Linked DNA regions of Rattus norvegicus. The protein of the gene in region 2 purifies or fractionates together with the protein of the main gene of each other region. This does not show direct contact. Links are inferred from orthologs where the notes say so. Each region holds a gene or a part of one and is shown on either strand. Other genes may lie near its edges.

Evidence for each region. The genes of interacting proteins can lie anywhere in the genome.
Region 1: the proteins of Pcna (region 2) and Cul4a purify together in Homo sapiens (affinity purification with western blotting; 4 studies listed by BioGRID, with this or other methods). This does not show direct contact. The link is inferred for Rattus norvegicus from reciprocal best matches to the Homo sapiens genes PCNA and CUL4A.

Annotation. Positions count from the first base shown.
Region 1 is NC_086034.1:83,090,098-83,093,509, forward strand, and holds part of Cul4a (cullin-4A), read right to left. Parts: intron 1,526-3,412; coding exon 1,420-1,525; intron 1,051-1,419; coding exon 878-1,050; intron 1-877. UniProt on the Homo sapiens protein: Core component of multiple cullin-RING-based E3 ubiquitin-protein ligase complexes which mediate the ubiquitination of target proteins. As a scaffold protein may contribute to catalysis through positioning of the substrate and the ubiquitin-conjugating enzyme.
Region 2 is NC_086021.1:139,952,904-139,957,036, reverse strand, and holds the start of Pcna (proliferating cell nuclear antigen), read left to right. Parts: upstream 1-1,216; 5' UTR 1,217-1,278; coding exon 1,279-1,499; intron 1,500-2,305; coding exon 2,306-2,403; intron 2,404-2,548; coding exon 2,549-2,616; intron 2,617-2,849; coding exon 2,850-3,044; intron 3,045-4,133. UniProt on the Homo sapiens protein: Auxiliary protein of DNA polymerase delta and epsilon, is involved in the control of eukaryotic DNA replication by increasing the polymerase's processibility during elongation of the leading strand.

The DNA.
Region 1 (3,412 bases), on a different chromosome or scaffold from region 2:
TTTCAGCATGGCTCTGCATTAACACACTTGGCTTGATGCAGACTGAGGCAGGCTTTGTTCTGCTGTGTTACACTGTAACTGTCCCGTGAATGCCCTTAACTTTTCACAGTGTACAACTCTCAACTAGCACTTGAAGAGTGATCTTAAAGGTTGTATTTTCTTATACGAATGCTGTGTCAAGGGCTTCCTAGCAGCATGGGATGGCTGTGAACCACCATGTGGATACTGGGAACCAAAGTCTTCTGAAAGAGCAGCCATTGCTATTAACTGGCCTCCTTAGACACATCATTGAGCATTTTGAGTTTATTTCCTGTGCAGCAGACTGAAAACCTCAGGACGAGTGACACAGTCACTGTCTGTGGGATGGGAGACCCGTGGCATCACTCTGTAATTAAACTTGTTCTCCCATCTATAGTTTTAAGAGCCCTTCTCTTACACAGACTGGAGCAAGCATTTCTAGGAATGAGAAGGCACTGAACCCGTGTGTGTCAGCTTTAGGTCAGAAGGGCTGACAGCTATGGTTGTAAGCTTGTCTAGCTTTGGAAAACTGAGAGCCGGCTCTGGAGTCTGTAGGGCCTGTGGTAGACCTCCTCCTTCCAAGGCTCAACAGAGAGCAGGCGTACCTCTGGAAATCCCACGTGCCAATTCTGTTTGGGCATTTGACATAGGAAGGTAGGATTTCAAACAGGTTTCTTGACTTTGACTTCTACTGATAACATAAAACCAATTAAAGATACATAAAATACACTCCAAAACTCTACATTTGACCTAGATTCAGACGTATGCTCTGACCTCTAATGGTCATGACAGTACCAGAACAGCTAAGGACTCTTTGGTGATACCATAGGAGTATGAGGAGAGGCTAGCTAGCACTTACGGTTTCCTTCATCTGGATTTGATTGATCTTTATTCTGAACAACTTGTGTTTGAAGTCTGCATTGAAGATGAACTTATCTCCGTCTTCCACCTCCTTCCCTTTGGGACTTTTAATCAGGACCCGGGCTTTACCACAGGCGAGAGACTGCAGTGTTCTTCGCAACTCACTGTCCTCTGAGAGAGGCAAAGGAGACGACGTCAGAGAACACACAAGAGACTCAGCCAGGAGAGAAACCGTGGATGTGCCACAGAGTCCATGCCTTCTCTTAAAATGCTTTTCCCCTAGCGCTGTGGATGGAACCCAGGGTCCTGTGCAGGCCAGGCAAGCAATCTGCTACGGAGCCATACTTCCAGCTCATACTCTCTTTTAAATCAACATGGTCGTTTTAAGTGCCAGGTGTGAGGGTGCACACCTTAATCCCAGCAATTGGAGGCAGAAGTAGGTAGATCTCTGAGTTCTAGGATAGCCAAGGTGACACAGCTTCTAAAGCAAACGAACGAACAAACAAACGAAGGTACATCATAAGGAGTCTTCCTTCCTACCTATGCCGGTGGCCATTTTGATTTCTTCGAAGCTGAACCCGTCGCCCTCGTTGAACATGAGCAGCACGAGCGTCTGGAACAGGGACACCTGGAACTCCTTCTTCCCCTTTAAGAGAACGGAGACAGCACAGAAGCTGAGCGTCTTCACGGTACAAGTCACAACAGGATGCTTTTGTGTGCATGGTTTTGTAGGGGATTCAGAACTAACTAATCACCACCACGTGAAGAGAAATTACGCTATTGATAAAAGAATGAGATGATTACTGGTATTATGTGTAAAGCCCTGTCTTGGAGCTGGACGTGGTAACACAGGCCTGTAAGTGAGCAGCGGGAGGCTGAGGCCGGGGATGCAGGCTCTGAGTCCCATCGGCTCCTTGCACATTACCATTGCTTCCCAGATGTCAGGCCTGTCTGTTTGTTGCAGCTACTGTTTTTAAGACAATGGCTTGCTGTAGAATCCCAGGGTGGCCTTGAACTTTCTATCCTTCCCCCTGTTTCTGGAGTGCTGGGCTCAAGAACATGCACCATCACACAGGGCTTTCTGAGGCTCTGGGTGGCAACCCTAGAGGCTTAGGAGGAGCACAGGGAGTCTGTGTGAGAGCATGGGAAAGGAAGGCCTCAGTGCTCCCAATGCTTTGTTCACACGAAGAACAAGTGTACAGTGTGCTCTGAGGGCAGACTCTGCCAGGGATGTTCCATGGTCCCCTTTTCTTATCTAGAATGTCCCAGTGCACAGTTAGTACCACGAGACCTAGCAGTTCTGTAAGGAGAAGGCAAAGGATAGGAAGGGGATTTGGGAGAGCAGCAGTGTCAGGTGCCTCCTGCTGGACCCTGGTCCTATTTCATGTATTTCAGGGGCTGTCTGCTGTCTGCAGAGGTCAGCTCCTAACTACAGCCAGATACACACAAGTGGCACAACTCAACCTTGCAGAAGAATGTATGTGGTGCCTACAGAGTAATACAATGTATGGGTGAATGTATTATAATGGCTCATACGTAATTTATATACTAAACACAGATGTGAACATGAGGCCTCCCCACACATTGCTTGGTAACATGCTTCCTTCGTGTCTTTGTGCAGCCTGTGTCTGATGCAGCAGCTCTGTGGTGAGCAGCAGCTCTGTGGTGAGCACTGAGACCCGAGAATCTTAGACAATGTCTTAGTAAGGACTCCTGCCCATCTCTAACTGAAGTGGCTTTAAAAGAGAGCATGTGGAGATCTTAAAAGATTCTCCTCTTGGTTTCTGGACACATGACAAAACTTGTTCTTTGGCTTGGCACTTTACAACAGAGGGAAGATAAAACAGTTAACAGAAAGAAGTGTGGGGGGCGGGGAGCTGCAACAGCTCAGCAGGGGAGCTGCTGCTCTTGTGGGACCAGCACCTGCCTCGGTCTGTATCGCACTGTCTGCGGTTAGTTCCAGGGTGCTTGGCCTGCACAGTCAAACTTCCATAAGCCACTCTCGATGATACTACACAGCTCAAGTCCCTGGGAGCTGCGCTTGCTGGTCCTCTCCAGTATCCGTCAGCATCTTGGTCCCAGCCACACTTCACTGTGTTCTGTTCAGCCGAGAGCTAGAGTATCCTTTCATCACGCCGGGCTTCAGGCTGGCTTTTATGGTTGCCTCTCATGCCTACTGCTCTCTTAACAACTGCATGGGTGGTGTGTAAGTGGGCGCTGCTGTGCATGCACAGAGGCCAGAGCAGGATGCTCGGTATCTTATTCTGTTGCTTTCTGTCTTTTTCTCTCAAGATAGTCTCTCACTGTTTTTCACTGAGGCTGGGAAAGTCCCATGATCACCCCATGACTTTGCACCCCAACTGCACAGGTTAGATGTGAGCACAGCCATGCCTGACTACTGCCACACTTTTAAGTAATAGTATTTATTTGTTCATTTATATGTGCAGGTTTTATGGGGGTCAGAGGACACCTGGGGGTTGTTTCCCTCCTCCTACCATGTGGGTCTTGGGGAATCAGACGCTGGCTGTCAGGC
Region 2 (4,133 bases):
TTAATATTTTCATACGTAAACCATTCCTTTTTCCCCCTTCGTGTCAGTCTTGGTAGATAGTCCAAGCTGAGTTTAAATCTAGGCCCTCCCACCTCAGCCTTCCCATGTGCTGGAATTAGCTGTAAAACACTCTTACCAGCTAAAACAATCCTTTTAACTTTCTGAAATTTTATATGTCTTATTAGTAAAAAAAAAAATGCAAATAAATAAAACATCACACACCAAAAGTTGTGTCTACAGTTAGAAGAGGCATTCCAAATGGAAGCTGGAAGTTTTACACTTCCACTATCAAATATATTTTATCTACCACCAAAACCAAGAGAAAAAGCATTAGAAATAGAAATCATTTATATCCTTTTGTAAATGATGCCCATTACCTACATTCAGTTCTTCTCCATCCTCATAATCAATAGGAAAAAGAAGTTTTAGTAGAACAAAATGCTGCAGCCCAGGGACATATGAAAGACGCTTCACCTGCAACAGCTAATATTTTCAAGATGGGGCTCAGGCTTGGGTTCATCTTAAGCCTAAAACTAAGATGAAAATACTAATATCTACCTTTAAAAATATAAAAGAAACCAACCATACAGGAAACTAATTACGTGGTACACATGAACTATATATCTTTGCAGAAGCGTTCGCGTTAAGAGGCATTTTTTTTTTTAAATCTTTAGGGAGGAAAGTTCAGAGCGAAGCACCCAGGTAAGTGTTATGAAATTGGGGAGTGTTCAGATAAGATGGCCTCTTTATTACTCAATATTTTGCGGCATATTTTTTACGCAGTAGTAAAAGAAACGCACTCCACTGTGTTTGAAGGAACTACAGTCTCCCTCTTCAAGGCAGGCCGCCGCGCACTGCAAGTGGCTTTCATTTCCGTGGCGCAGAAACTTCCTAAGGAACATGGAAACCACAGCCTAAGCTCCCTCCAACACCGGCGGTGACGACAGCCTACGCGAACCCCGTGATGCCCCTCGCCTCCCACGCTCTTACCGCACAGCTCCGCCTCTGTATACGCGGCGGGGCGGGCCTTGCTCAAACCACGGATACGATTGGTTCTAGAGGAGAGGTGGGTGGGTCAGCGCTGTGACGCCACAACCTCGCGCACTGAAAGAGCGCGCGCCTAGGAAGCCGCGGCATTAGACGGTTGCGGGCGCAGGTGACTGGTTATCGTCCCTCCTGGTCTTCACGCTACTTCTGCATCGTGAGTCGGGGTACCTTGTCAGCAAGACCTCGCTCCCCTTACAGTAACTCTCATCTAGACGTCGCAACTCCGCCACCATGTTTGAGGCACGCCTGATCCAGGGCTCCATCCTGAAGAAGGTGCTGGAGGCCCTCAAAGACCTCATCAATGAGGCCTGCTGGGACATCAGTTCGGGCGGCGTGAACCTACAGAGCATGGATTCGTCTCACGTCTCCTTAGTGCAGCTTACTCTGCGCTCCGAAGGCTTCGACACATACCGCTGCGATCGCAACCTGGCCATGGGCGTGAACCTCACCAGGTGAGCGGGTGGCGGGAGCTGGGCCCCATCCCTCCCGCTTCGGCTCTTGGCGGGGCTGTGTTCCTGCACTCGCATTGGCTGGCATGGCCGTCCGCGCTTTCTGATTGGCCTGTGGTGCCGGGGACATCACCCACCAAAGCGCGCGGTTCCGAAAAGCCCGCGCTGGCTGTCGCGCCTACTTTTTTCCCGCGCCAAAGCCACAAAGCGGTAGTCAGCGGGAAAATGCGTGCTTCCGAGCTGCGCTCATTAAGTGCCTGCAGCTTTTTCTGGCCGATTTTAGCGCCTAATAAGCGAGTTCTGGTGAAAAAGGACTGTCGACTTAGAGTCTTAGAGTGACGATAGGCCTTTTCTTGACTTCTAGAATCTCACTGCGCGTCATGGATTTGCAGGAAAATCTCAGTTTTAGCTTTTAACTTTGCTACAACTACCTGTGTTAGTGCCTCCTGTATACATTTCAAGGACAATATGTGACTTATTTTGGTACAGATATATGGATTAGTGTCACTTGTATACATTTTGAAACATTTATGAAAAGGCCAGACGCGATAGGGCACACTCTCCAGTACGCTGAAAACCGAGGACACCCCACTAAAAAGGATGCGTTCTTGAATGTTGGCTTTTAGTGCATTTTACTAAATCGATTTTTAAGGATCACATATACCCGATAATTTGCTTAACCTCTGAGAGGGTTCGGGGTACCCTTATCCTCCCTAACAATTCTCCAATCATGAATGTGAAATATAAATTTAAAAATGTAAATGTGGAGACATGATGTTGATAAGCCCTGTGTCCTTTTTTTTTTCTAGCATGTCCAAAATTCTAAAATGTGCTGGTAATGAAGACATCATTACATTAAGGGCTGAAGATAATGCTGATACCTTAGCACTAGTATTTGAAGCACCAAGTAAGTTACACCCTTAAAACTCAGTTGCTACAGAAATTAAAGTGTGCTGTTTCTGTTTCTCACAATTAAAAACAACAGGGTTGTGGTAAATTTACAACATAGATATGAACATGTGCTTCAGTAACACTTGGATTTCTTTTGGTAGATCAAGAGAAAGTTTCAGACTATGAGATGAAGTTAATGGACTTAGACGTTGAGCAACTTGGAATCCCAGTAAGTATCTTGTTTCTGATGGTGTTTTACCAAGCTGTGATACCAGCTGATGCATGTTCTAAAGTGGAGTTGTGGTGTTTGCCATTTCACCAGACCACAACAGCCTAAACTTGATTGAGTTGTAAAGACATCAGAAGTCTTGTGTTCTGAGTTCTAGTTAAGGTGCTGAAACTTGAGAACATGAAGCTGAGTCTTCCTCTTTTCTAGACTGACCTTTAACCTTGCATTTACAGGAACAGGAGTACAGCTGCGTAGTAAAGATGCCATCTGGTGAATTTGCACGTATATGCCGGGACCTTAGCCATATTGGAGATGCTGTGGTGATCTCCTGTGCAAAGGACGGGGTGAAGTTTTCTGCGAGTGGGGAGCTTGGCAATGGGAACATTAAGTTGTCCCAGACAAGCAATGTTGATAAAGAAGAGGAAGCTGTAAGTAGCAAGAGGTGTCGTCCAGCTAACTGTGTCTGAAGCAGGATTGCCGGCTTAGCCATTAAGCCTTGACTTCTGTTTGTTTATTCATTCTTTCATTTTGAGATGGCATTCTGAGTAGACCAAGCTGGCTTGGAACTCAGATGATGCCACATAAGCTTTTACAGACAGGATTTGGAAAGCTAAGTGTACAACCTTTTGCTTCCTGGAAATACTCTTGACAAATCAGTGAGGATTAGCAAGTGAACGGAATGGTTGGGGGTGTAAAAGTCTTGGGATCATGTAGCTCCTCTAATAGCTTTTATGTGTTGTAGGTTCAGTTACTAGTTCATTTAATGGTGCAAAAGCAGACTGAGCAAAGTTAGGTTGTAATTTAGGCCTAGCTACAGGCAACAGGACTCAATACAATAATAAGAATATCCACAGTACCAAAGGAAATAAGACTTCATGCAACTCGGAAAGAGTTGCATTGAATACTCTGACATTTTATGTGCCTAGAGGAAGCTGGACATGGTGGCTCAAACCCATAACTGTGACACTCAAAGCAACAACAGGATGATTCTCAGTTTAAAGTCTACCTTGCAGAAAATGGATCTCAAAAAATGGGGAAGAAATTGGGATGGCAGGGGAAGATGCTTGGCAAGCCCTCATTCAAGCAGAACACACTAGTTCTCTTAATTCCTAAGTAGCCCTGACTCAAGGCTTTCTCAGGAATCAGATGTATATTTCATGGTTACACTTTTAAGTTTTGCTACCGAGCCTTAGCATCAAAGTCTGAACTAAGTGAGATTTCAGGGTTAATATGGTGAGATTCAGAGTGCTTACCACAAAGTATGTAAGGTAAATAGAAGGTGTTACTTTCTTGTCCTCTGCACAGACTTAAAGTAAATGTAAGTATAAGAATTAGAGCATAGATAGATATACACACAACTCAGAGAGCTAGTTCTTAACCTTACTCTGCTGAATTATGTCTACTTCCCTGTGAACTTCAGCTCCTCACTTCTCAAGACATTCAATCTATCAGTATTTGTCTGAAGTGCAAGCATTTCCACAACCAAAGAAATAACTTCAGTATCTACATATTCTTTA